Linked DNA regions of Canis lupus familiaris. The protein of the gene in region 1 interacts with the protein of each later gene in a pairwise test. Links are inferred from orthologs where the notes say so. Each region holds a gene or a part of one and is shown on either strand. Other genes may lie near its edges. The genes, in order: DNAJA3, TCF19 and FAM214B.

Region 1 (10,784 bases):
TCTGCAGGAAATCATGGACTAGACCATACTTAAAACTCCCTACTAGGGGTGCCTGGCTGGCTCAGTCTGAAGAGCATGCGACTCTTGACCTTGGGATCAGGAGTTTCATCCCCACGTTGAGTGTTGAGATTGCTTAAATAAAGAAATAAACTTAAAAACAAAATACAACCAAACTTCCCTACTAGCTCTCACTGACCTCACTGCCTCAGGAGACAGGGAAAGGGACTAGAGGAACAGCAAAATGACAAGTGTGGGGCGGGGTTGGGGAGAAGCTTGTGAGCCTTGTGTGCCTTTGCAAAACATATTTGTTTCTCCTTAAAGCTAAAGTTTTTGGCTTTAGACTGGAGAAGGGGGAGAGTGGGTGATGGACACATGAGGCATTCCGCCTTGGGGGGAGAATATAGGTAGATGTGGCCCAGGTGCTCATCCCAGTTTTTGGCAACAAGCCTGGGATGAGTCATTTTGTGTCCTGTCACAGCTGAAGTCCTTGAGGCAGTGAAATATTCTGTAGGTGGAGTGGTAATAGATACTTGCCCTGCCTCCCTTTTTTTTTTTTTTTTTTTTTTTGTGAGAAGCAGAGGAGATTCAGCATGAGAAAGTATTTTGTAAATTGGTAAGGCCTGTCTGACTAGGACTTACTGATCACAATGACATGGAGGTGCATGGTTTAAAGGGAAGGGCTGTGGGTTTTGTTAGGGGGTCTTGGCTCACTCACACACTAGCTCTGTGACTCTGGATGAGTTTTTTTTATCTTCCAGAGTTTATTTAATTGTGTGTAGGGGGTGTGGGGAGAAAGGAGTCCATTTGTAAATACAGGAATAGCCTTTGCCTTACCTTGCACAATTATGATCAAAATAGAAAATATGGCAAAGCTCTTTGTGAACTGGAAAGAGAATGTTCTTAACACAGTGGGCTTTTTCAGATCTCTCCATAGCCACTAAGTGCCTGAAATTGGTCCCACAGACATATCAAGCATGATAAGTCCAAACTACAAGTCATCATCCTTCGCCCTTAAACAACTTCTTCCCTGGGTTTTTCAGCTTGGCGTTAGGGAAATATAAATAAGCTTATTCATTGTCCTTCAACCAACTATCCAATAAAGGCAATTCAGGTACCATGGACCAAGGACCTCTGTCGTGAAGATTTCCAGAGCTTTGTAGCTTACCTATGTTTCCTAACTGTATCATCTCCTGCTTCCCTGTAGTGACCAGCAGTGAAAGGGATCTTGCATAGGCCGAGGCTGCTCTCATCAGAGAGTCTTTCTGGTGGTTTCCCCAAAATCCATCTTTCTCTCCTTCAGTAGCCACCGGCACCCACTCCATTTCCTGGGGAGTTCTCTGCTTTCTGAGATGGAACACAGGCTCTCCAGCAATCAGCCTTCCTGCTATCCCCTAAAACAAGTACACACACCCCATTTCAGTGTGGATTTTTTTTTTATTTGTGATAGTCACACACACACACAGAGAGAGAGAGAGAGAGAGGCAGAGACGCAGGCAGAGGGAAAAGCAGGCTCCATGCACCAGGAGCCCTACGTGGGATTCGATCCTGGGTCTCCAGGATCGCGCCCTGGGCCAAAGGCAGGCGCCAAACTGCTACGCCACCCAGGGATCCCTCAGTGTGGATTTTTACTGTTAATCACTATGGGGAAATGGATGGGGGGAAAACTAAAATACCAAAAATATGAGGAAGTTACAAAACTGACCAAGTTTTCATATTAGTGAGCCCTCCATTAGTTCCTAACTCACTCTAAGGTGGTAAATGAAAGTCCCTTTGCCTCTTGTCGACATTTATTCCTGAGAGTTGTACTTCTCATCCAGCACCCTCCCCCACTCCTACCCCTTGGGCTCCCTGTGGGCAAGTAACTATGCCTGAGTTCTGCTTGGTATCCTCGGTGCTTAGCACAGGGCCTGGCACATAGGACAACATTTGTTGATGACTTACTATGTGCCAAATACCGCATGGAGCCTTTGCATGGATTATCTCATTCTTTCTTTAGATGATTCCTTTGAGGGAGTTACCATTCTGTCCCTGTTTTAGAGAAAGGAAACCAAGGCAGAGAGAGGTAAAGTCAGTTGCCCAAGGACACACAGCTGTAAGTGGCAAGGCTGGGATTCAATCCCAGGAGATCTGATTCCAGGGCCCATACTCTTAATCATGATGCTGAAGACATTTAAATATTAAACATATTAAGTAAACTCTTTTCTCCACTTCCCATGTCATGACATCTCTGCCTTGTTTCTCTAAAAGGCCTCAGCTCTAGGTTCACTAGCCCAAACTCTCAACTACTCCTTACACTTAACAGCCTTGAATTTTTTTCACTATATTAGTGGTTTTTATCTTTCATTTTGTTTTATTTTTATATTTTTTAAGATTTTATTTATTTATTCATGAGGGACACACAGAGAGAGACAGAGACATATGCACAGGGAGAAGCAGGTCCCCTACGGGGAGCCTGATATGGGACTCGATCCCAGGACCCTGAGACTGCAACCGGAACTGAAGGCAGACGCTCAACCACTGAGCCACCCAGGTGCCCCTTCATTTTATTATTTATTTTTTTAAGGTTTTATTTATTTATTCATGAGAGAGAGAGAGAGAGGCAGGCAGAGACACAGGCAGAAGGAGAAGCAGGCTCCATGCCAGGAGCCCAACGTGGGACCGATCCTGGGACTCCAGGATTGCACCCTGGGCCAAAGCCAGGCACCAAACCGCTGAGCCACCCAGGGATCCCCCATTTTATTTTATTTTATTTTAATATTTTTATTTATTTATGATAGTCACACACACACACACACAGAGAGAGAGAGAGAGAGAGGCAGAGACACAGGCAGAGGGAGAAGCAGGCTCCATGCACCGGGAGCCCGACGTGGGATTCGATCCCGGGTCTCCAAGATCTCACCCTGGGCCAAAGGCAGGCACCAAACCTCTGCGCCATCCAGGGATCCCTCCCCATTTTATTTTTTAAAAAGATTTTATTTATTCATTAAAGAGAGAGAGGGAGAGAGAGAGACAAGGAGTGGGGGGCGAGGGAGAAGCTGACTGCCCCACTGAGCACAGAGCCCAACCAGGGGCTCCATTCCATGTGCCCCAGACCAGTGGTTTTTAAAACTTCTTTGAATCTCAGTGAAGAATTTGATCAATGAAAGCTATGGCTCTTTACCCAGATTAACATCCACATCCACAAGAATTTGGGTACAACGGGCAGAAGGGGCAAGGAGCACACATCATCTTAAACCCATGGTGAACCCTCAAGCTCCCTTCTTACCATGTGGGGGTGGCATTCCCGTGTGTGTGTGTGTGTGTGTGTGTGAGAGAGAGAGAGAGAGAGAGAGAGAGAGAGAGAGAAATTCCTTTACCAGGCTTACTAGGCGAGGTGTATCTGTCTAGCCTCATCTCCAGTCACACCCCCTAAGTTTAGGGCTTAAACAAACCGGAGAAGGACTTTCACACCTCTAAGACAGCTGCTTTTTTTTTTTTTTTTTAAGATTTTATTTATTTATTCATGAGAGACACAGAAAGAGGCAGAGACACAGGAAGAGGGAGAACCAGGCTCCCTGCAGGGAGCGGAGGTAGAACTCGATCCCAGGACTCCAGGATCAGGCCCTGGGCTGAAGGCAGACCCTTAACTGCTGAGCCACCCAGGGATCCCCTGCTTTTTTTTTTTTTTTTTTTAATAAAGATTTTATTTACTTATTCATGAAAGACACAGAGAGAAGTAGAGACAAGTGCAGAGGGAGAAGCAGGCTCCCTGCGGGGAGCCCGATGGGGGACTCGATCCCAGGACCCCGGGGTCACGCCCTGAGCCGAAGGCAGACGCCAACCACTGAGCCAGCCACCCAGGTGCCCCAAACATCTACTTTTTAAGTTCCTGCTTCTGGGAATCCTCCGCCTCTCCACCCGCACCTGACGCACTTGTCCTCAAAGTCCACTTAGAATGTTACCTCTCGGATGCCTTCCCTGACACCCCAGCCCCTCAATTTGTCACCTCCGTGACCCTGACACTGTTCACACCTCCGACAGCACCGATCGTGTTATGTTAGCTGCTGCGGAGCCCGTGTCTCTCGATTCGGCGTTTGCTCCCCGCCCCCGAGCAGGGACGGCACGTCATTCATCGTTGTAGCCCGAAGAGTCTAGAAAAACGCGCATGACAGCAGGTGCTCGCAACATTTATTACACCCATTTGTGACTGGTAAGTTCATTACAGGTCTGGAGGAGACTAACACGCTTAGGACAGAACCGAATGATCGAAGTCCGCCCCATGAGGAACCAGCCAGAGAGAAAGCGAGCTTGAGGCCAGGCTTTGGAAGTAGGGCAGAGGCCCCGCGGGCTGGCGCTGACACAAGACGAGCAACCCTCAGGCGGGATGCTGAGCGTCGGGTCGGGTTGAAAGGAGACGCGCACTGCATGTTGGGATCGGCGCGACGGACGGCCGCGTTGCACGCCGGGATTTTTGTAGTCCCGCCCTTCGCCGGGACCCTCCGAATAGTCACATCTGGCTACCCTCGACCACGTCTTTACACAGATAAGGTACACTCTTGGCCATCCAGCACAGAATGACGGGGTTTTTCAGGGTCACTGTACCTAGTTGCACTCCTCAGAGCAAACCTCATTTCAGCGTTGGCAAGCAGAAAGGACCATTGAGCGCTGCTGCGCGTGCGCAACCCGTGCGTCCGCGCGTGTGCTTGCACCGGGCTCCGCCTCCGGAAGCCCGAAGCTTCGTCCGCGCGATGTTCTCGCGAGGCCTCCTTGAGCCGGGTGGCGCAGGCGCAGTGGCCCTGGGCCAAGATGGCGGCGTGGTGCTCCTCACGCTGGTTGTTGGTAGCCGTGGGGATTCCGCGGCTGCCAGTTGCAGCGGGGAGAGGAGCCCGGCCGTCTAGGGGGGGCGTGGTGGGGGCTTCGCTGGGCCACAAGCTGAACGTCAGTACCTCCGCGCCTTCCCTGGGAGGTCGGGGCTCCGGGGCACTGCTGACATTGACACCCGGTGTCAGCTTCAAAGGTGAGAGCAGGTTCCGGCGCCCGAGAGGGGCTCTGAGGCCCGGAAGGGGGTGGGCTCGGTCCCGCTGCGGGGGTGGCGGGGTGGAGGGTGGCTTCTGACCTGTATGCGGAATTGCTTGGAGAGACTGGCAAGCAGGAGGCAGAGGCCCAAATGGCTTCTCAGAAGTGAAGCGGGGAGAGCTGCTTGGAGCCCCCGGCGCCGGGAGAGGAACGCTCCGTACGCGCGCCGCCTTCACTTCTCTCTAACATTTCTAGAAGTTTCTTCTGGGCCGCCACTGCTCCGTTACCCTATTCGATTCCCGTCTCCTCCCTTCACCTTCTGGCCGGAAGGGAAGAGGTACCTGCCATTCGGTGAGCACCTGCTGTAGTGCTCGGCACTTGGTGCCTCGTTTCACTTGACTGTAACAGTCCTGCAGGAAGGGCGGCGTCATTCTCATATTAGGGAACGGGCAGCCGACGTCCTGTAGCTAGATGAGAACCGTCATCCCAGACCCAAGCTGTCCTTTAATAGCTCATACTCCTTCTGCCGCATGATTTTAACTGAAGGGCACTCGTAACGGTCTTTTCTAAGACCTTATGTTGGCGGTTGTAATAAAAATGCAGGCTGACATTTACTGAGCACTTTCCACGCACCAGGCTTGGATCATTTCCATGCGATAGACATTGTTCCACTCCGTTGTATAGGTAAAGAAACTAAGCCTAGATGTTAAACAGCTTGTAGAGTGACCGAGCAGGAAGATGGAGCCGTGATTCAAGTCCCGGCTCTCTGGACTGCTGGAGGCGATACTGAATTTTGGTCCATCTTAAACCTCTAAGTGTTTAGCGTTGATGGTTCTGTTCTGTGTGGGATGACTTCCATTATAGTAAGAGAAGGAAGGAGGAAACATTGAATAACCAGCCATGTGTCTGGATTATGTTACTGATTATGTTTCCGTAGAATTTGTGCAAATAATATTAAAGCTATCGATGAACTTCTTTTTTTTTTTTAAGATTTTATTTATTTATTCATGAGAGAGAGAGAGAGAGAGAGAGAGGCAGAGACACAGGCAGAGGGAGAAGCAGGCTCCATGCAGGGAGCCCGATGTGGGACTCGATCCTGGGACTCCAAGATCACGCCCTGGGCCAAAAGCAGGCGCCAAACCACTGAGCCGCCCAGGGGTCCAACTCATTTTTTTTTTAAGATTATTTTTTATTTATTCATGAGCGACACACAGAGGCAGAGGGAGAAGCAAGCTCCATGCAGGGAGCCCGACGTGGGACTCGATCCTGGGACTCTAGGATCACACCCTGGGCTGCAGGCGGCGCTAAACGGTTGAGCCACCCAGGCTGCCCACTGTCTATGAATTTATAAAGGAAATTGCCTGGTGGGGTCCAACTTTGTAATGCTTGCCTAAGAGGCAGTCATTAAAGTATCAGTAATCTTTATTACTTTGTAAAGTGAACAGACTGGCCTCCTCCACTGGAGCGTGTGTATATGAGAATTGGGAGAGATCTGAGAGAGGTATTTAATCCCTTTGAGCCTCTCTTAACTGTGAAAAGTGGTTCAATGACTAATAGGTGTTTATTGAGTGCCTTTCATACGCTAGCCACTTGTTCTAGGTACTGGGAATTTAGCAGAGGACAAAGAGATTGGATGAGGTTTTGGTCAAGTGATCCCATTTATTTATTCTGTTCCTGCCACCAATATTTAGTCACAGATGGAGCAGTAGTGGACTCAGATTTCCTTGGAGCAGCTTCACACTGTATTTCTCAGTATGAGCAAAAGTGGTCGTTTTTGAGTTCTGCTAACAGTTTTTTGTTTGTTTGTTTGTTTTCCTAACAGTTTCTAATGTCAGGGTTGTTTTAGATGGAGTTTGGCTGCATCGTTCTGTTCAGTTGTCCTTTAGGTAATTATTAAGCTAATTCTGTTCACATTACCTTTGTACAAGTTTGGGGAGCATTTTTGTTGATTGTGTATATATGAGAGGGACAGGCGCTATGTACTGAGCCTTCATGGAGCCATTACTAAGGACTTGTGGTCAGCACGTTGCTCATGATGAGCATGTTTTGTATCACATGATGAACATATGTGAGAGTTGGCATCCTTCAAGATGCACTCTGTTATCATATCTAAAATCATCAACTCAGCTCTCAAACATTGGTTTTTGATCTCCTCTCAAATCTGGTGGTACAATTAGGTGACATAAAAATAGCACTTTAAATATAGCTTTTCTCCCAGGGCAGAAAAAAGGTTGTTATTTGGTACTGGGTCGGTCATTCTTGGAACAACTTGGTGGCTGATCCTATTCTTGGTTGTTCCAATAAAGGCAAGGCATTTATTGATCATACCTTGGAGAAACATTTGTCTATCAAGTGAACTCTATTTTAATCATTGATGCCTTTTGGATAATGTCAAAAGTCATCAGACTTGTAGTAGTTAAATGTGATTTGTCTTTATTCGCATGCAGTTTTGCACAGTACTGTCCCATTCTTGCATCCCAAGTTCTCTGCCTGTGTCCTTGGAGCTGTAGCTGCCAGAGCCTTTGCCACTACTAGTCTCTGCCTTCTGGATTGGAAGGAGCGAGAGAAAAGGAAAGGCTGGACAGGACCAGGACAGCTCCTCACACCTGAGAGAAGAGGGGCTGAGTACAGGAGCACTAGGAAACTAGCTCTTGTTTTTCTCAGATCTGACCAAAGAAAGACAGCTGTGGTCTCCTAACCCCCACTACTTCCACAGTCTACTTTTCATGCTCCAGCAACAGGGTGCAGCAACAGAAAACGAGTATGGGGATGCTGAAAATACAGATTTGCTCGCTGGTTCTGATTTCAGTCATTCTTGCTTCATTCCTACACATTCTCCTGTCTTACTATCTTTTTTTTTTTTTTTTTTTAAGATTTTAAAAATGTATTTGACAGAGAGAGAAAGCACAAGCAGGGATAGTGGCAGGCAGAGGAAGAGGGAGAAGCAGGCTCCTGCAGGGTTTCATCCCAGGACCCTTGAGCCAAAGACAGAAGCTTAACTGACTGAGCCACCCAGGTGCCCCTCCTGGCTGATTATCTTGCCCCTTTTCTGGTTGGCCTCAACACCCCTGGTTGTGTTTTGTGTTCAGATTAATTTTAAGTGGTCTCTCAGGCCTCTTGTTTGTTGTTGTTGAGAGTGCTTTCTCATGCAAGGCTGATCAATTCCCTGTTTAACACTTGCAGTGTCTCCCTGTTGTCTTCAGGATAAAATCCTGAGTCCTTCCCATAGCTCAGAGGCCCTTCAGTTTATTTCTAGGCCTCATTAATCAGCAGCATCATTATGTCTAAACCACCCCTCTCTACTTGTGTAGAATCTCGTTATATGGCCCAGTTAACTAAATGCACGAGGACTTTATGTAAGCCAAAGGTGATACATGATTTAGCAGCCAAATGAGGCACTTTTGAACATGAAAGGGGAAGCAATTGCAAATGTCAGGACTGTAGGTGTGATTCCAGGTGGATTCAAATCTTTCCTTAGCCTGGTTAATTTCTACACTTAAATAGCAGTTAAAAGACCTTTCCTGAACTTTTTCAATTGGATCGTCAATAATTCTCAACTGAGGATGATTTTACCACCCTCACCCCCCACAGGACATTTGGCAATGTCTGAAGTCATTTTTAATTGCCAGTGTGTGGCAGGGTAGAGGGGGAGTAGAGTATACTACTTCTAAGTAGTTGGCCAGGATGCTGCCTAACATCCTTTGACATATGGGTATTTTAGTTGGCCAGTGATGCCATAACAAAGAACCACATTTATCTTCACAGTTCTATTTTTTTAAAATTTTTATTTATTTACGATAGTCACAGAGAGAGAAAGAGAGAGAGGCAGAGACATAGTCAGAGGGAGAAGCAGGCTCCATGCACCGGGAGCCCTACGCGGGATTCGATGCCGGGTCTCCAGGATCGCGCCCTGGGCCAAAGGCTGCGCCACCCAGGGATCCCTATCTTCACAGTTCTAAAGGCTGTAAGTCTAAGGTCAATGTTTTGGCAGAGTTGTGATTAAAGATCTTATTTACAATTATAATCACATTCTGAGGCACTGGGGATTAGGGCTTCAACATATGAATGGGGACACAACATATGAAGAGGACACAATTAGCTTATAACCCTAGAAAAGCCCCTCCACTGGGAGGAATCCCACTGTCAACAATTTGGGTTTAAGAAACCCTGATTAGGTGATTCTGTGTATGTGACTCTGCATGTCCTTGTGTACTAATACCTCTTTGCACACTGCCTCCGACACACCCCTGCAGGACTGTAAACTCCTTGAGAGTGCTGGCTTTGGCTTTTTTTCTTCATCTTGTATCTTCAGTGCCTACTACAATGTTAAGATCTTAAATATATGTAAGCTCCAGGAGGGCAGTGCCTTTGAATGGTCTGCTGCCTATTCCCAGCCCAGAACCCAGTGCCTGGCAAGTAGTAGATACTCAGTGAGTAATTGCTGAATGAATGAATGGTGAATCCATAAGCTGCTTCTCTGTAGGCAGAAGTTTGACTTAGTAATTGGGAGCTGGGGACGCCTGGGTGGCTCAGCAGTTGAGCGTCTGCCTTTGGCTCGGGTGTGATCTGGGGGTTCTGGGATCAAGTCCCACATTGGGCTCCCTGCATGGAGCCTGCTGCTCCCTCTGTCTGCATCTCTGCCTCTCTCTGTGTGTCTCTCATGAATAAATAAATAAAATCTTTAAAAAAAAGAAAACGAAAAGAAAAGAAACCGGGAGCTGCCATGACTCTGCCTTAACTTGGCTCCCTTCCCCTCCCCCAGCCCTGCCTTCCCTGTCTTCCCTTGTCACAGGATGGGTTGGGGGTTAGACAGGGCTCAAGGTGTGGGGTGGCTCCCTCTGCTTCACTTGGTGACAGACCAGTCCAAGTTGATTCTCTACCACATGCACAGTGAGCTGTTGAGTGGGACAGAGTGTTCTGATGGCGGTTCCTCCTGGCGCTGATACCAGCATGTGGTTGCCTGCCTTGGGCTTTGACCTGTTAGCTGTTCTGGGGTAAACAGGTTCAGGCATAGGGCCTTTTAACCCCTTGTGTCTGTTTAGGTGTATTATTTTAAGGAGAGGAGCAGCACTTTTATCGGATTCCCTTAGATCTGTGACTTTAAATGCTAAAAATAATTTCTTTAGTACAGTGGTTCTCAAATTGACCATGTGATGAGCAGAATCATCACCTGGAGGGCTTATTAAACATAGCCCACTGGAGTTTCTGATTCAGGTCTGGGGTGGGGCCTGAAGGTGGACATTTCCAACAAGCTGGTGGTGCTGCTGGTCCACTCTGAGAACCACCCCAGAAGCAAATCCCCAACTTTGCATGGTGGAGGGCAAGAACCTAGGGAATTGCATTAAGGGAGAAAGCATATGAAGACAGCTGGCACATGGCAGGTGCTTGTGTAATGTAACAGTGGGACTAGGTTCCTTTTTAATCATCCCCCAGCTAAAGCCTCCATCTGGGGTGCTGTTCCTTTGGTGGTGTAATGAGGGTACAACCTCATTGTATTGTGATCCAGCAGAATCAGCTCTGCCCGGTGCTGTTTGTTTTATATTCATTGTATACTGTGGTCTTGGCCATTTTTGAAATGCAGTGAGTTTGGTCTCCAGAGAGAGAAAAGCTGACCCTAAAGCTGTGATCTCCATTACTTTATGGGTATAACCTGGCTGGTTCTTTACTCAAAATTTCCTTTGGTTGAGCACATTCTTAGAGTGATTTTCTTTACTTTTTTTCTTTTTTAGGAGTAAAAAGTTACCCTTTTGTTTGTACTGCCTCCTTCCACACGAGCTCCCCTTTGGCCA
Region 2 (3,949 bases), on another chromosome or scaffold:
AAAGGAGGTACGCAGTGCAGGGGCTGTGAGCCCAATCTCCAGAGTTTTCTCCATGGCTCAGCAAGGCCTTCTGGAAGCCCATCCAGACACCACCAAGCCATGACTCCTGGGTCCTTCCCTATTAAAGCACTGGCCCAAGGCCTGGGCCCAGATGAATGTGGCCACATGTAGGGCAGGACACCTGCCCAGGTCCCCTGGGAACAGGCAGCCTAGACCCCTTGGCCGAAAAAACAATTTCCTGACATCTCATCCAGAGCCTTCCGGCCGCTGTCCTCAGTTTCCCTCTTCTATGCCCTCAGCTGCCATTCCTGCCGCCTACCGTCCTCTCTCCGGGGTCCAGAACACGAGAGGTCTTTTCAAGGTCTCCCTACCCTCCCACCAGAACGCACCTAGTCTCCCTGCCTGGGATTCCTATCACCCTCCCTACAGCCTCATCTGCTCCTTCCTGAAAGCGTTACTCTGGTCCCTCACGGCCGCATCCCCTCCCAACTGCACGCCTGCAGGCTCCCAGCTCTTTCCACTCCCGCGTCTCCCCCGATACCCGAGCCTTCCCCTGCTGGACCCGGGGCTCTAAGGCCGTTGGGACCACTTCATCTGCTCCTTCCCCTGGTCCCTGTGCCCCTCTTCCCCTATGGACCCCTGAGCCCACCCCGAACCCCCTGTCGGCCCCTTCCCGCCCCCCAACCGACTCTTCCCGAACGCCCCTTACCGAGCGCGAGGCCCTCCGCCCTCCGCCCTCCAGCCACCACCCCTGGCCCTCGCCCCGGGCGCGGCCACCGCGCCTGCGCAGAGCGGGCGGCTCGGCGGGCCGCCGGGGGAGGGGGGGAGGGGAAGGGCACGCAGGCGCAGTGGGGTCTAAAGCCAGGCCCCAGGCCCCAGGCCCCAGGCCCCAGGCCCCAGGCCGTGGGGGACGCCTCCGCGCGCCCGCGGCCCCTCCCAACTCCGGGAACCCGGGAAAACAGGAGAACTAATCAGGAGAGGCGGAAGGCGGGAAATCGGAGCTCTCCAGAGCGCCGGCCAATGGAGCGGCGGGGGGCAACGGAAGCGGCCAACCAGGAGGGCCGGTGGGGGCTCGTCGCTCCGAGCTCGGGCCCGGGAACTCGGAAGGCGGGCCAGGCGCTGCCCGCGCGCGGAGGCCACGCCCCCCCCCCCCCCCCCGGCCTCCCCGCTGTCACCCGGCGGCCGCGCGCGAGCTCGGGCACTGCCTGCGGGGGACGGCACGTGGAGGCTGCTCGCGGTAGGTGGGCACCAGGCCGGGCACGGGAGGGAAGGCCTGGGGCGGCCCTGCCTGACCGCGGGAGCCCCTTCCCCTTTGCGCCGCGCCCGGAGAAGCCGGGAAGCCGGGGCTTAGCTTCGCTTTGCTGGAGAACCGAGGGACCGTCTTCACTGTCTGTTGGGGGACAGTGGATTCGCCTCCCGCTGGGGTTAAAGGGAACTGGTTGTGAGAGGGATTGGCCTGAAGGGCGAGGCGGCGCGGGCGAGCAGGACGGTTACTCGATTTGGATAAGCAAGTCTGATAGGAAGCTTCTTTTCTACAAATTACAGAGGTGACAAGGTAGTGTGGTACAGAGCAGGAATCCCATACACCCATCTACAGACTGCATTTCCCTGGGAGGCGCCTAATGTGTTGTTGCCTTGCACAGATTGAGTCTCCTGAATACCTGGGGCAGCCTGAGGATCCGGCTCCACCAAGGTGCCACAGGACGTGTTCCTCTCTGCGCTGCACTGGGACCTTCCCCGAATTCTTCGGTTGCAAAGCTGCTTGACAGTTTTGTTTGTATCCCGTGCCTAGGCGCCCTGCACTCTGAAGTTGCACTACTCAGGCCTGGGTTCTCCTCTGAGTTTTACCACTGATCCCTGGTACAAATTCAAGCCTGTGCTCAAAGTTGAAAAAAAGCACAAAGCACAGCTCAAATTTGCATCAGACAGAAAGTGAACTTAGGGCAGCGTGCATGGCTCTGGTGTGGGACAGGTGATAGACTCCTGAAGTGGAAGAAGTGGTGCAGAGAGGGCACCACCCATGCTGCCCTGCTTCCAGCTCCTGCGCATAGGAGGAGGCAGGGGTGGTGATCTCTACACCTTCCACCCCCCTAACGGGGCTGGCTGCACTTATCGCTTGGGCTGTAGGGCCGACCTGTGTGATGTGGCCCTGCAGCCCCAGAGGGAGCCTGGCCTCATCTCTGGAGTCCATGCGGAGCTGCACGCTGAGCGCCGGGGTGATGACTGGAGGGTCAGCCTGGAGGACCATAGCAGCCAAGGTGAGCAGCAAGCAGGGCAGCCTTGCACCTGGGCAATTGCAGTTCTGGGCTGGAATGATCAAGGGGCTTCACAGGGACCCTGCCTGCCTCCCAAACGCCCTATCAGATTGGATGGACAGTTGTCTTGACCTGCATCTTCCCACTCAAGGTGTGCAGTGTCAGAAGCTCTCTGTGGGACTGGCCCCCAATGGTCGCTGCCTAGCTGGAAGCATCTAAACAGGGGCTGGGAGGTAGATGCAGGGCCTGCCATCATCAGGGAAGTATCATAGTGGGGATGATCTGGGGCCTTGGGAGCCAAACTCAGATGACTCAGTTTCCAAATTTGTTGAGGCACCTTGTTTTTGTCTGAAGGCGGTTATATGTTGCATTATGTTTGAATGATCAGGGCATAGGTCTTGCTCCTTGACTGGCAGGCATTTGTAGTCAACCTCAGAAGGCCTGGGCTTTGCTGCTGTCCCTTCACGTCTCTGGGTCTCGAGTTCCTCATAGGTATAATGTAAGGCTTTGTAAGGTCGGTTTCAGGAGTGTTGGGGAGATTAGGTTAACTATAGGAGCCAACATTCATTTAGTGCTTACTGTGGGCACCAGGTACTGTTCTAAGCGCATCGAATGTCGGTGAACACTAATACAGTCCCCATTTTACAGACAACAAACATTAAGCATAGCTTAATTTTCAGGTGACATAGCTGGTAAGATAGAGCCAAGATCTCAACCCAGACAGTCCATGGTATGCCATTAACTGTTTTTGTGTTAGAGCTGGGTGAGAAACATGTCTGAGGATGGCACCTCAGCAGAGTGAGGGAAGGAGTCCATTCCTTCCATATGCCTTGTGGGACGGCATAAAAAATAAACTTGTTCTCAACTCACTAGGAGCTTAATATCTGGTGTCACCTGCCGAGGGACTTCAGGTGTTGAGAAGTTGATGACAAGTGTCATGTTCTCCTCCCTCATGTTCCCCAGAAAAGCGAAGGAGGCCAGATTTCTCCTCTCCTGACTCTGGTCATTTCTGTTTTTGTCATTCTCTGTATCTGTCTGGTGCCCTGCCATCAACAGGGACTCTGGTCAATAATGTCCGACTCCCAAGGGGTCACAGGCTGGAGTTGAGTGATGGAGACCTTGTGACTTTTGGCCCTGAAGGGCCCCCAGGAACCAGCCCTTCAGAGTTCTACTTCATGTTTCAACAAGTCCGAGTCAAACCTCAAGATTTTGCGGCCATTACCATCCCGAGGTCTAGTGGTGAAGAGGGAACTGGGACTGGCTTCCAGCCTATGCTGCCCCCACAAGGGGCCCCAAAGCGCCCCCTCAGCACCCTTTCCCCTTCCCCGAAAGCCACGTTGATCCTCAATTCCATCGGTAGTCTCAGCAAGCTCAGACCCCTTCCCCTCACCTTTTCCCGGAGTGGGGGTGGGCCACAGAAACTGCCTGTTCCCACTCCTCCTAGGGAGGTGGGGAGTACCCCTTCTGACCCACCCCCAAGAAATCGGAGGAAATCAGCTCACCGAGTGTTGGCAGAGCTGGATGATGAGGGAGAGATTCCTGAGGCTCCCCCAGTCTTTATGGAGCCCAGAAAGAAACTCCGTGTAGAGACAACCCCACAGACACCTGCTGGGTAAGTGGAGAGAACTTTCTCAATTTTAATTCCTTTTTTATTCTTTTTTAGTGCCCTGGGCTGGAAGGTGGCCCTCTGCTCT
Region 3 (10,755 bases), on another chromosome or scaffold:
ATCCTGGAGACCCGGGATCGAATCCCACATCGGGCTCCCGGTGATGGAGCCTGCTTCTCCCTCTGCCTGTGTCTCTGCCTCTCTCTCTCTCTCTCTATGACTATCATAAATAAATAAAAAATTAAAAAAAAAAAAACATTTGAATAGACTGAGTAAACCAGATTGCTCTTCCTAGGTGGGTGGGCTTCATCCAATCAGCTGAAGCCTCACTACAATATAAAGGCTGAGTCAGAGAAAATTTCTCCAGGTGCTCGGTTGGCTCAATTTGTAAGGTATGTGACTTGATCTCAGGGCTATGGGTTTGAGCTCTATGTTGGCTTAAATTACTTAAAAATCTCTAAAAAACAGAGAGAGAAAACATTTCTCTCTGACCGGCCAGTTGTTTCAATTGGGACATTGGTCCTTTATCTTGCCTTTAGAGTCAAACATCAGCTCTTCCTGGGTCTTCAACCTGCTGGCTTTCAGACTACAATCATACTGTCAGCTTTTTATCAGGCCTTTGGATTGGGACTGGAACTATACCATCACCTCTTCTAGGTCTCTAGTTTGCCAGCCTTAAAGATCTTGGGACTTGTTAGCCTCCATAATCCTGTAAGCTAATTCCTTATAATAAAATCTCTCCATCTCTATGTATGTGTGTATGCATATATATGCACATATGTGTATGGTTATGTATATATATGTGCATATATATGCATACATATAAACATATTGCCCCCCCCACCATAACTCTAATACAATACCTAATTTCCTTAGGAGCCTTGGTGTCCATTGAAAGATGAATGGATAAAGAAGATGTGGTTTATGTATACAATGGAATATTACTCAGCCATTAGAAATGACAAATACCCACCATTTCCTTCAACGTGGATGGAACTGGAGGGTATTATGCTGAGTGAAGTAAGTCAATCGGAGAAGGACAAACATTATATGGTCTCATTCATTTGGGGAATATAAAAAATAGTGAAAGGGAATAAAGGGGAAAGGAGAAAAAATGAGTGGGAAATATCAGAGAGGGAGACAGAACATGAGAGACTCCTTACTCTGGGAAATGAACAAGGGGTGGTGGAAAGGGAGGTGGGCGGGGGGTGGGAGTGACTGGGTGACCGGCACTGAGGGGGGCACTTGATGGGATGAGCACTGGGTGTTATGCTATATGTTGGCAAATTGAACTCCAATAAAAAAATTAAATTAAATTAAATTAAAAAAAATTTCCTTGAACGCTCATCAAACATGCTTTATCATCTTCCTTATTCCTTCAGTAATGAGTTAAATGAATTTGTCATGCATTCATTCCATATAATTTTTTTTTAAGATTTTATTTATTTATTCATGAGAGACATAGGCAGAGGGAGAAGCAGGCTCTTTCTGGAGATTCGATCCCAGACCCCGGGATCACGCCCTGGACCGCAGGCAGTCACTCAACCGCTGAGCCACCCAGGTATCCCTCATTCCATATCCTTATTAGAATCTTGCTTTTAACTTTTTGAAAGTTGTACTTTGATGATGTTTTTTAACAAAAAGTGTTGGATCAGTTCCATAACCATATGGGGAAAAAAATGAATCTTGACTCCTACCTCACACCATACACAAAATCTATTGTAGATGAGTTATAAAAGGTAAAATAATAAAGGTTCTAGACAATGACATAAGAGAATATATTCATTAACTTGGGATAGGCAAAGACTTCTTAAATAGGTATAAAATAAAGTCATTATCCACAAACAATGAAATAAATTGGACTATATTAAAGTTAAGAACTTCTCAGACCACCTAGGTGACTTAGTTGGTTAAGCATCTGGCTTCCCCTCAGGTCATGATCTCAGGGTCCTGGGATCAAGCCCCACATCAGGCTCCCTGCTCAGCAGGATGTCTGTTTCTCCCTCTTCCTCTGACCTTCCCCCCTGCTCGTGCTCTCTCTCTCTCTTTCTCAAATAAATAAATAATTTTTAAAAATAAAGTTAAGAACTTCTGTTCATTGAAAAACACTACTTAGAAAATAAAGAAAGCTACAGAATGGGAAAAGTTATTTGCAATAGATTTCTCTAACAAAATAATCATATACAGAATATACAAGGAGCTCTTACAAATAGAAAAAAGACAGACAACCAAATATAAAAATGGGCCAAGGGAATCCCTGGGTGGCTCAGCGGTTTAGTGCCTGTCTTCCACCCAGGGCGTGATCCTGGAGACCTGGGATTGAGCCCCGCGTGGGGCTCCCTGCATGGAGCCTGCTTCTCCCTCGGCCTGTGTCTCTGCCTCTCTCTCTCTCTGTGTCTCTCATGAATAAATAAATAAAATCTTTAAAAAAAGAAAAAAGAAAAATGGGCCAAGGACTTGACCAGGCAAATCACGAATGGTAACCAGTAGGCATATGGAAAGGTGCCCAAATTTACTAGATATCAAGGAAATGCAAACTAAGGCCACAGTGAGATACTTCTGCATATACACTAGAATAGCTGAAATTAAGAAGACTGACAACCTCAAGAGTTAGCAAGAAAGTAGAGAAACTAGACTTCACATATATTGTAGCACCGTGAACTGTTGCTACAATCTCTTTGGAAAAAATTTTGGCAGTATCTATTGAAGCTGAACATATACATGCCCTATTACTCAGTACTTCTAAGTATATATCCAATAAAAATACATGTACATCAGTCAATAAATTTATTTTTTTTAATGTAGAGGAAAAATAAATACCAATTTGGAATAGTGGTTACTGCTGGAAAGAGAAGATGAGGAGCAAAGAAGAGAATGGAATGAGATTAGGAAGGAGTATATAAAAGCTCAACTTATCTGAAATATTAATTTTCTTGAGAATTTAAAGCAAATGTGGTAAAATATTAATATTTGATAAAGCTGTGTGAAAAGAATGTGGGTGTTTGTTATAGTATTCTTTATAACTTTCTCTATGCCTAACATATTTCATAAAGAATTTTTTTATTTATTTCCTTTAATTTAATTTTATTTTTTATATGAGCTTTATACCCAACATTGGGCTTGAACTCCTGACCCTGAGATCAAGAGTTAATATGCTCTACCAACTGAGCCCCTCATAAAGACATTTTTTTAAATCTTGGAGAATACTCAGAGAATGTTTAAGAGCCATTGTAATATGAATATTATTCATATTAATATGAATACCAATACCAATATTGTATATATAAATATACTACATACACACACACATAGGTTGATATGATGTGATAAAACTGGCACTTTGAGCACCTGGGTGGCTCAGTTGGTTAAGCGCCTACTATCGCCTCAGGTCATGATCCTGGAACGCCAGGATCCAAGTTCCAGGATCCAGCCCTGTGACCCAACAGCTCCCTGCTCAGCAGGGAATCTGCTTCTCCTTCTCCCTCTGTCCTCCCAGCTCATGTTCTCTCTCACTTGTTCACTCTCTCTGAAATAAATAAATAAAATATTTTTAAAGGAACGAAAGAGATACAGAAAGAAAGAAAAGAAAGAAAGAAGCTGGCACTTTAACTCATGAGTCTTCCTTCCCAAAACCCATAACCCCAGTCTAATCAATCAGACAAATCCTACTGAAAGATATTCTGTAAAACATCCTATGGTAAAACCATCAATGCCATTGAAAACAAGGAAATCTGAAAAAATGTTACAGCCAAGACAAGTTTAAGGAGACATGACAACTAAATGCAATGTGCTATCCTGGATGGGATGCTGGAACAGAAAAATGGCGTAAGGAAAAACTAAGGAAATATCAGCAAGGTATGGACTTTAGTTAATGATATGTATCATTTAAAGTCAAGTAATTTAGCCAAATTCATACAGCTAGTAAATATCCAACACCCAAAGTTCAGAGGCCTATGCTTTTTCCACTACTCCAAACCCTTCCACCTTTACTCTTTGTAGGATTATCAAGCTATTTGTCTGACAACTTAAACAAGTTCCTTGAGGATAGAGAAAAACTTTTTTTTTTCTTTGAATATCACTGGTGTTCAGTAAACCAGCTTAAGTTAACTACTTACCGAAAAAAAAAAGTCCCAGAAACCTAAAGAATCTGAGACTTTCAGAGAACTTTATCAGGTTTGATCCACAATCTATATCACCAGCTCCACGGAGAGGCCCCATAGACCCTGGACTCAAAGCCCTTCAGTTCTGCAAGGGTCCTGTGCTGCCATCTACAGGTAGCTGGTGAGCGCTGACTTTCCCTGCGGTATCTCGGGAAATCGTGCGGCGAGTGTAAATCGGAGAGAAGACTCAAGCGCTAATTAAATTACAGAACATTTGTAACTGTCACAGAGTTCACTTGACATTTGTACAAAGCAAAGGCCCTACTTCTCTCCGGCGATTGCAGGCTCTTCTACCTCTGTATTAACACGTACGCTCCTAAAATTCACAGAATTCCTTACTGACCCACCTTCCAAAGGTAGAGATCTGGCTGTCATTGCCCATCTCCCAGAACTCAGATTCTCCTGCACAGCGTAGGCTGCAGACATTTGCTCGACCTCACAGACTTGAGACCCTAACAACCAGATTGTCGCATCTTCACAGACCCCTGCGAGTCCTCGCACTACCTTGCAAACCCCACAGCCCTCCCCCATTAGGGCAAATGCATGCGCTAACCCAGACGTTTCCATAGAAAGGCTCGAGTTCCGCAGGCAGCTCACACTAGCCGGAAAGCCCGGGAGAGCCCCAGTCAGGCTCGGTGCCCTCAGGCTAGCGCTTTGATGCCAGCTCGGGCTCCCTCACCCCAAGCCCGATCCGGTCAGCCTAGGCCCGCACCCGGCGGACCAAGGCCCCGCCCTCTAGACCTGTCATCACAGAAGCCGCACGTGGCCGGGGTGGGACCTCAGGCGACCTGCAGCCATCACTTTGTCTCCTCCGCCATCCATTGGGGCCGCAGCCGCCAATCAGAGCCAGCGGATCCGGGCTGGAGCACAGGCGCCCGGGTGAGGCGAGCGGGAGAAGGGGCGGGGGTGGGTGAGTCTCTGAGCCCGACCCTGGCTCGCGGTGGAAGAGGGCCAGGTCCTGGGATCTGCCAGGCTGGAATCCGAGGGGCGGGTCCTAGCGAAAGGCGGAGAGACCAGAAGGGGGCGGGGAGCAGGGAAGGGGCTAGGGACAAGCGGATGTTCCTGGGGGGACGCAGAGAAGACGAGAAGGGGCGGAGCCATGGGGGCGGGGCCTGTGTCACAGGGGAGGAGCCAGAGGCATTAAAGAAACTAGGAAGGGGGACGAACCCCGAGAAGGTGGGAGGTGGGACAAGGGAGGGGGTGGGCCTGGGCGTTGCGGGGGCGGCGCTCGGACAGAAGGGGTGAGGTTTGCAGGCCGAGGCTGCTGCTAGGGCCTCTCTGTAACTGCCCCAACCCACTACCTCCTCAGGTGCAACGGGACTCACGGAACTACAGGTGTGGGGTGGGGTGCGCGTGGAAGAGGGACAAGGATGGGGGTGCGCTTGGGCAAACAAGAAGGTGGGGGCACGTTAGAGAAGGAGAGAATCTGAGGATTGCTGGGGGTGGGGAGGAAGACACAGAGTTGGAGGAGGTCTTGGGGGCTCAAGCGTGTGGGTAAGCAGGTGCATTCTCCAGGGGCTCTTGTGGGGGAGACACAGGAGTGCTTTGCAGAGGTTGGAGGTACAGTGTGAGGGGGCGAGGTCGCTGTCTGACGTGGAGGGTTGGAGGCTGGCTATACTTGAGGGGGAGGGGATCTGAAGTTGCTTGGGGGGAAGCAGGCGCTGTATGATGGAGAAGAGTTGGTGGTCCAGAGTGTGGGAGAGACGGAGGGACACAAGGATTATGTACAGAAAGAAAGGATGGGGTTTTGGGCACTGTGTGAGGGAAAGGGGTTGTAGGCCCCAATTGAGGGCGGAAGAACCCTAGTCCTTTGAGAAAGTCTTGGGGCTTTGTAGAGACTCCAGGGAGGGGCTTGTGTTCTGTGTTCTAGAAATGGCATGATGGAATTGGTGGAGTAAAGCCAGTCCGTAGTGCTCCTGGCTCTTTGGCACCTAATTTCACCTTCAGGCTTGAGGACTCTGAGGGAGGATCCAGGCCCCACTTGCTACTAGGTCTTCTGTGACTATCCCCTCAGTCGGCTTTGGATATGTCTGGCTGAGACTAGAGTTTCTTCCCCCAGCTGGTGTTCCTGTTAACCCCCACTCTAGTTCCTGTTCCTCCCAGAAGCCAGCCTTGGTCCCTGTCTTTCCCCTCCCCCACTTTGCCCTGCCCTATACTCTGGGTGTGCTCATTTCCCACTTCCTTCCTCGCCCTGGGGCCTGGCCTGGGACTTGCCCGTCTAGGAGCTGTGCCCTGCCTGTGCCCTGCCCGGAACTTTGTGCTCAATGGCCACAGACCCTAGTTACCAGCAGTAAGGCCCAGACCTCACCCACTACTACCAAGATCTCTCCTAACAGCCCCCACAAGTGACTGCTACTTTTTTGCCACTTGGCATAAACTTATTTTCCCTACCCTTTTCATTCTCTTGGATGGGGAACCCTAGGACCCTAAAAAATGGGCTTCTGTGGGAAGGGTGAAAATTACTGAGTCTTTGATGTATGTTTTGAGACATGGGCTACTATGGCAGGCTGAACTCCAGAAAGGATAGGAGGTTCCAGCCTCAGCTGGAAGAGGAAGAGAGAATGGCTCCCCACATTCCTGGCTTGGAAACTGATGGTCAGAATCCGAGACTAGGGCCTAGTCCTCTAGGGAGTTCCTTGGGTTCCCTGAGGGGCCTTGATGTAGTGCCAAAGTTCTGTTTGCCCCTGGGCTGGCTAGGAGAGGGTGGAAAAGGCCTGCCTTCCACACAGTGGCTGGATGAGTGTGACAGTGTTACTGAAAGGGGCCCCTAGCCAACCTCCTTCTAGCTGTGACTGGCTGGGGAGGGAGGGGGTACTGAAGCCAGACAAAGCCGTGGGGTAGGGTGGGGTAAGGGAGGGCAGGCTGAAGCCTTTTGAGGAGGAGCTGATTGCTATGGCAACACAGCTTCCCAGACTGTCTCTCAGAGAGGCGGGCCTAGGGCAAACACTCCAGCTTCCTCAGGATTGAGGCATTTGTGTGAGTGGGTGGGGCGTGAGGAGAAAGGGCATCAGTTTGCTGTGCTGAGGCTGAGTATATTGCCTCTCTGCTTCAATACAAGCAGGAGGGCATTCAGACATTTGGGTCCATCCTCTGAAAATGGATTTGAGTGAACAATAGCCATTAGAATCATAGCAATATAAGGCCAGAGTTGCAGAGGCCCTCAGTGGCCATCATCTAATACAACACCTCATCTTACAGAGTTGAAAATTTACAGCCAAAGGAACTCTGACTTTCTCTAAGTCTCACAGTGAAAGAGCAGGAATTAGGACCCAGGTCTTCCGAATGCTGTTCACTCAGCCCAGGGCTCATCATTTCTTTCAGCCAGTGTTTATTGAGCACCTATTATGTGCCAGGCATGGAATACCACCATGAACAAAACAACACTGCTGCTCTCATAGAGCTTCCATTTTAATAGGAGGAGAAAGAAGTGTGTATGTTTATGATGACAGAGAGAGAGACAGAGGCAGAGAGAGGCCAAGTGGTGATAACTGCTATGAAAAAAAAATAAAGCTGGGTTAAGAGTTTGGAGCAGCTAATTAAGGCTCTTGACTGTACTATGCTGCTTTCCAAGGGTACACGGTGGCCTAGAACATCTTTGATCCTTCCCACTGAACTATTGCCCCTCTGACCTTTGCAAGTAACTGAGGCCTGGGCCTATATTAATGGCAGTAAAACAGAACTTACTGCCTGTTCTGTGGTGTCACCAAAGGACTATTAATTTCCAATAGTACTCTGTGTCTATTTGTCTTCCCAGTAAGCTTTTACTAAGGGAAGTAGGTTCTTATTTTGGTACTCTGCAATTTTGTTCAGGATTTTGAAAATTTCCTGAATCCTATTCTTTTGCCTCAGGGAACCAATGAAGAAGTCAATCCAGGGCAACTGGGTTCTTTTTCAGGGTTTTTCTCCTGGTCTAAGGTGAGGAGAAGGGAGCCTAGGGGAAGGGTTACTTACTTATCTTCCTAAGTCTAGGGTACAAGGAGGAAGTACGGGGAAGGGAACCTTTTCTTTACTGTCCACTGATAACATAAGGGCCCTTGGGGCCTACAGCAAAGGCAAGGTAGAAACAAGGACCTTGGGCCTTCTTCTGTAGGCTCTGAACTATGGAAAAATGGAACTCCCCCTCTTCTGGAGACACAACCAGGGAGCCTAACCCTGGCTAATGCCAGTTCTCCAGGCATCATTTTGAGTTGTCCCTCTTTGTTTTTTTGTTGTTGTGGTGGTGGCTGTTGTTGCTGTTTCAAAATTTTATTTTTAAGTAATCCCTACATCCAACCTGGGGTTTGAACTCACAACCCCAAGATCAAGAGTTGCACCCTCCACTGACTAAGCCAGCCTGGTGCCCTCAGTCTTCTCTCTTTTGACTCTGGTATTTGCTTGCTTCTGGGGATGACTGACAGAAAAAGCTTCCTAAGTTTAGAAGCTGATTAGGGATACCTATTTTTCTTAGCTTGCCCCTAAAGCAGCCCCTCTAAAAAAGTGTCTTTTAATGCCTCATCCTTGCAGAAGTTTCCATCCTGGTCGTTTAAAGAATAGGAGGACAATAATTAGGATCACTGATTCTGCTGCCACTTAATTTGGCTGGTTCTGGCCTGAGCCTGGAGCACAGTGACTCAGGGGGAGGGTGGAGAGTTTCGAGGGAGCTGTGAGTCATGGGAGTGAGCTCCCTCGCAAGAGTTGGGCACATCTCCCCCACTAATGGTAGAAGCCTTTGTATCCCACTTCCCCTGGATCCTTGGTCTCATATGAAGAGAGAGTACTGGTAGAAGGGATGAAGCAGCCTGATCTCAGGATGGTAGTTCTGAGACACAAAAGATGTTTAGGTCCCTGAACTAAAATATGTCCCTATCTCAGGAGTCCTTTGGGGCCCCTCTATTGAAGACAAAAGAACATCAATATAGAGGAAGAAAAGGAAGAATATGTTTCTCAATGGAAGGAGATAAGATCCCACTTCTGGACTATTTCACCTGCTGTGGTATGAAGGAAGCTTTCTAGACTTCAACAGTCCTCTGGTCTCTGAAACTCTGGTCTGCAAGGAAAGGAGAGAGAAATGGGAGTGGGGATATTTGGGGTTTGGTGTGGGAAGAGCAGGCTGACTTTGGAGATTGTCGGAATTGTGTCTATGAAAGCCCTAGGGCGTCCTATTAAACACCGTCGGAAGAGGAAGGGCGGAGATGAGAAGCGGGAGGCCTACGCCTTTGAAAGGGTTAAAAGGCAGGGCTGGGAGCTCCTTGGGATTCCGGCAGATGAGGGGTTAAGAAGATGGGCGGGGTCATCCCCGGGTAGGCCTGCCCCCTTGTGGACCAATGGGCCTGCGTCTCTTGGAAGGGGCGTGCCTCACACTTGAGGTCGTGGAGAGGCTGGACTCCTAGGGGCCAATCAGCATGACCGCCGCCCACGGAGGGTGTGGTCTTAGGGGGGCGTGGCGGCCGCGGGCGCCGCGGCGGGGGTGTAGGGGCATTGGGCGGGGCGGGCGGCCCCATCAGCTGGTAGGAAATGGCCTGTGAGTCAGAGGGGCAGCGGAGTCGGCAGCGCGGAGCCGGGGCGGCCACGGGGAGGGACAGTCGCGGGGAGGGGTGCGGCAGTGGCTGGGGGGCTGCGGGCTCCAGAGCCCGCTAGTGTTGCACACGAAGCTGAACAGAGAACAGCCTAGCAAAGCAGGGCTCTGTCTGAGCCACCCTTTGTCTGGGTTGGGGGCCCGTGGTGGGGAGGACCCGAGATTCGAGGGGAGGGACCGGGACGGGACGGAAGGGCCCGGAGCAGCGGCCGCCGCGGCGGAGCCAATTTAAGAGCGGGGTGAGTGTGCTAGGGGGAAAGAGCAAATCTCCGAAGCTCCAGGAGGGAATGGGGCCTGTCCCAGGCTCTGGGGAGGTGAGGGGTGAGAATGGACCTGGGAGACTAAGTAGGGGGTGGGGGAATCGTCCAGAACCAGGAGTCCAGGGGAAGGGGTGAGTCTGCCTGGCTCAGTTTGGAGAAGGTGCTGACATCTGCTCTCTCTCCATTGAGGATAGAGGGTTTTAGGCCAGCGGTCAAGGGGTTGGTGAGAGTGCAGAGTTTGACCTTCCTACCCACAGTGTTGGTCCAATGGAGTAGCCCCCCTAGCTTGTGTGGACATGTTTAGGGACAAACTGCGGAGCAGCTGGCAGTTCTCTCTGAACAGGATGAGGGTGGAAAGCACATGGAGAGGAATTCTCCTTCCTGTCACCCTCCTTGATCAGTGTAGAAATGGTATCTTTAATACTGAAAGGAAGGGGAGAGTGAACCTGGAAGCTTGTACTTATACCAACACCCACCTACCCCACCTCCCAGGCCTAGCAGGTGTCTGAGGTACAGAACCCATGGTATTCTGGGACTTGTTGTTTTTGCTGGCCTTGCTCCCTGGGCATTTTGGGAACTGTAGTCCTTGCCAGCCACAGCCTGGCACAGCTGTTTGACGCCAGCTGCTGCCCATCCCCTGCACAGGGAATGAGGTTTAGCTTACCCTGCCCCCCCTTCTCCACAGTCCTGCCCCGTGAGTCAGCTTGAAGCCATGGTCTAGAGCCAGACAGACTGGGTAGCAGGGAAGTGAGTCTTAGAGCTTCCAATTGACAAGGCAGGAACTGAGAGGGCCGCGGGGTAATGAACAGATGCCAGGCATGCTAGGGTCAAGAGGCATCATATCATCACCTGGCTTCCCCAGGGCAAGGGCTCAAGAGGGCAACTTGGATGACCAGGGGGT

The links.
Region 2: the proteins of DNAJA3 (region 1) and TCF19 interact in a two-hybrid assay, tested with the Homo sapiens proteins (2 studies listed by BioGRID and IntAct). The two-hybrid records come from large-scale screens. The link is inferred for Canis lupus familiaris from reciprocal best matches to the Homo sapiens genes DNAJA3 and TCF19.
Region 3: the proteins of DNAJA3 (region 1) and FAM214B interact in binary tests that used the Homo sapiens proteins (3 or more experiments, as listed by UniProt). The link is inferred for Canis lupus familiaris from reciprocal best matches to the Homo sapiens genes DNAJA3 and ATOSB.

The regions. Positions count from the first base shown.
Region 1 is NC_049227.1:37,254,644-37,265,427, reverse strand, and holds the start of DNAJA3 (dnaJ homolog subfamily A member 3, mitochondrial), read left to right. Parts: upstream 1-4,748; 5' UTR 4,749-4,785; coding exon 4,786-4,996; intron 4,997-10,724; coding exon 10,725-10,784. UniProt on the Homo sapiens protein: Modulates apoptotic signal transduction or effector structures within the mitochondrial matrix. Affect cytochrome C release from the mitochondria and caspase 3 activation, but not caspase 8 activation.
Region 2 is NC_049233.1:993,637-997,585, forward strand, and holds the start of TCF19 (transcription factor 19), read left to right. Parts: upstream 1-1,149; 5' UTR 1,150-1,237; intron 1,238-1,643; 5' UTR 1,644-2,020; coding exon 2,021-2,258; intron 2,259-3,311; coding exon 3,312-3,867; intron 3,868-3,949. Other genes in the region: CCHCR1 (coiled-coil alpha-helical rod protein 1), read right to left, coding at 1-167. UniProt on the Homo sapiens protein: Potential transcription factor that may play a role in the regulation of genes involved in cell cycle G1/S transition. May bind to regulatory elements of genes, including the promoter of the transcription factor FOXO1.
Region 3 is NC_049232.1:51,982,845-51,993,599, reverse strand, and holds the start of FAM214B (protein FAM214B), read left to right. Parts: upstream 1-4,768; 5' UTR 4,769-4,919; intron 4,920-5,192; exon of another isoform or gene 5,193-5,216; intron 5,217-5,352; exon of another isoform or gene 5,353-5,377; intron 5,378-9,483; exon of another isoform or gene 9,484-9,540; intron 9,541-9,599; exon of another isoform or gene 9,600-9,833; intron 9,834-10,755. UniProt on the Homo sapiens protein: Transcription regulator that may syncronize transcriptional and translational programs.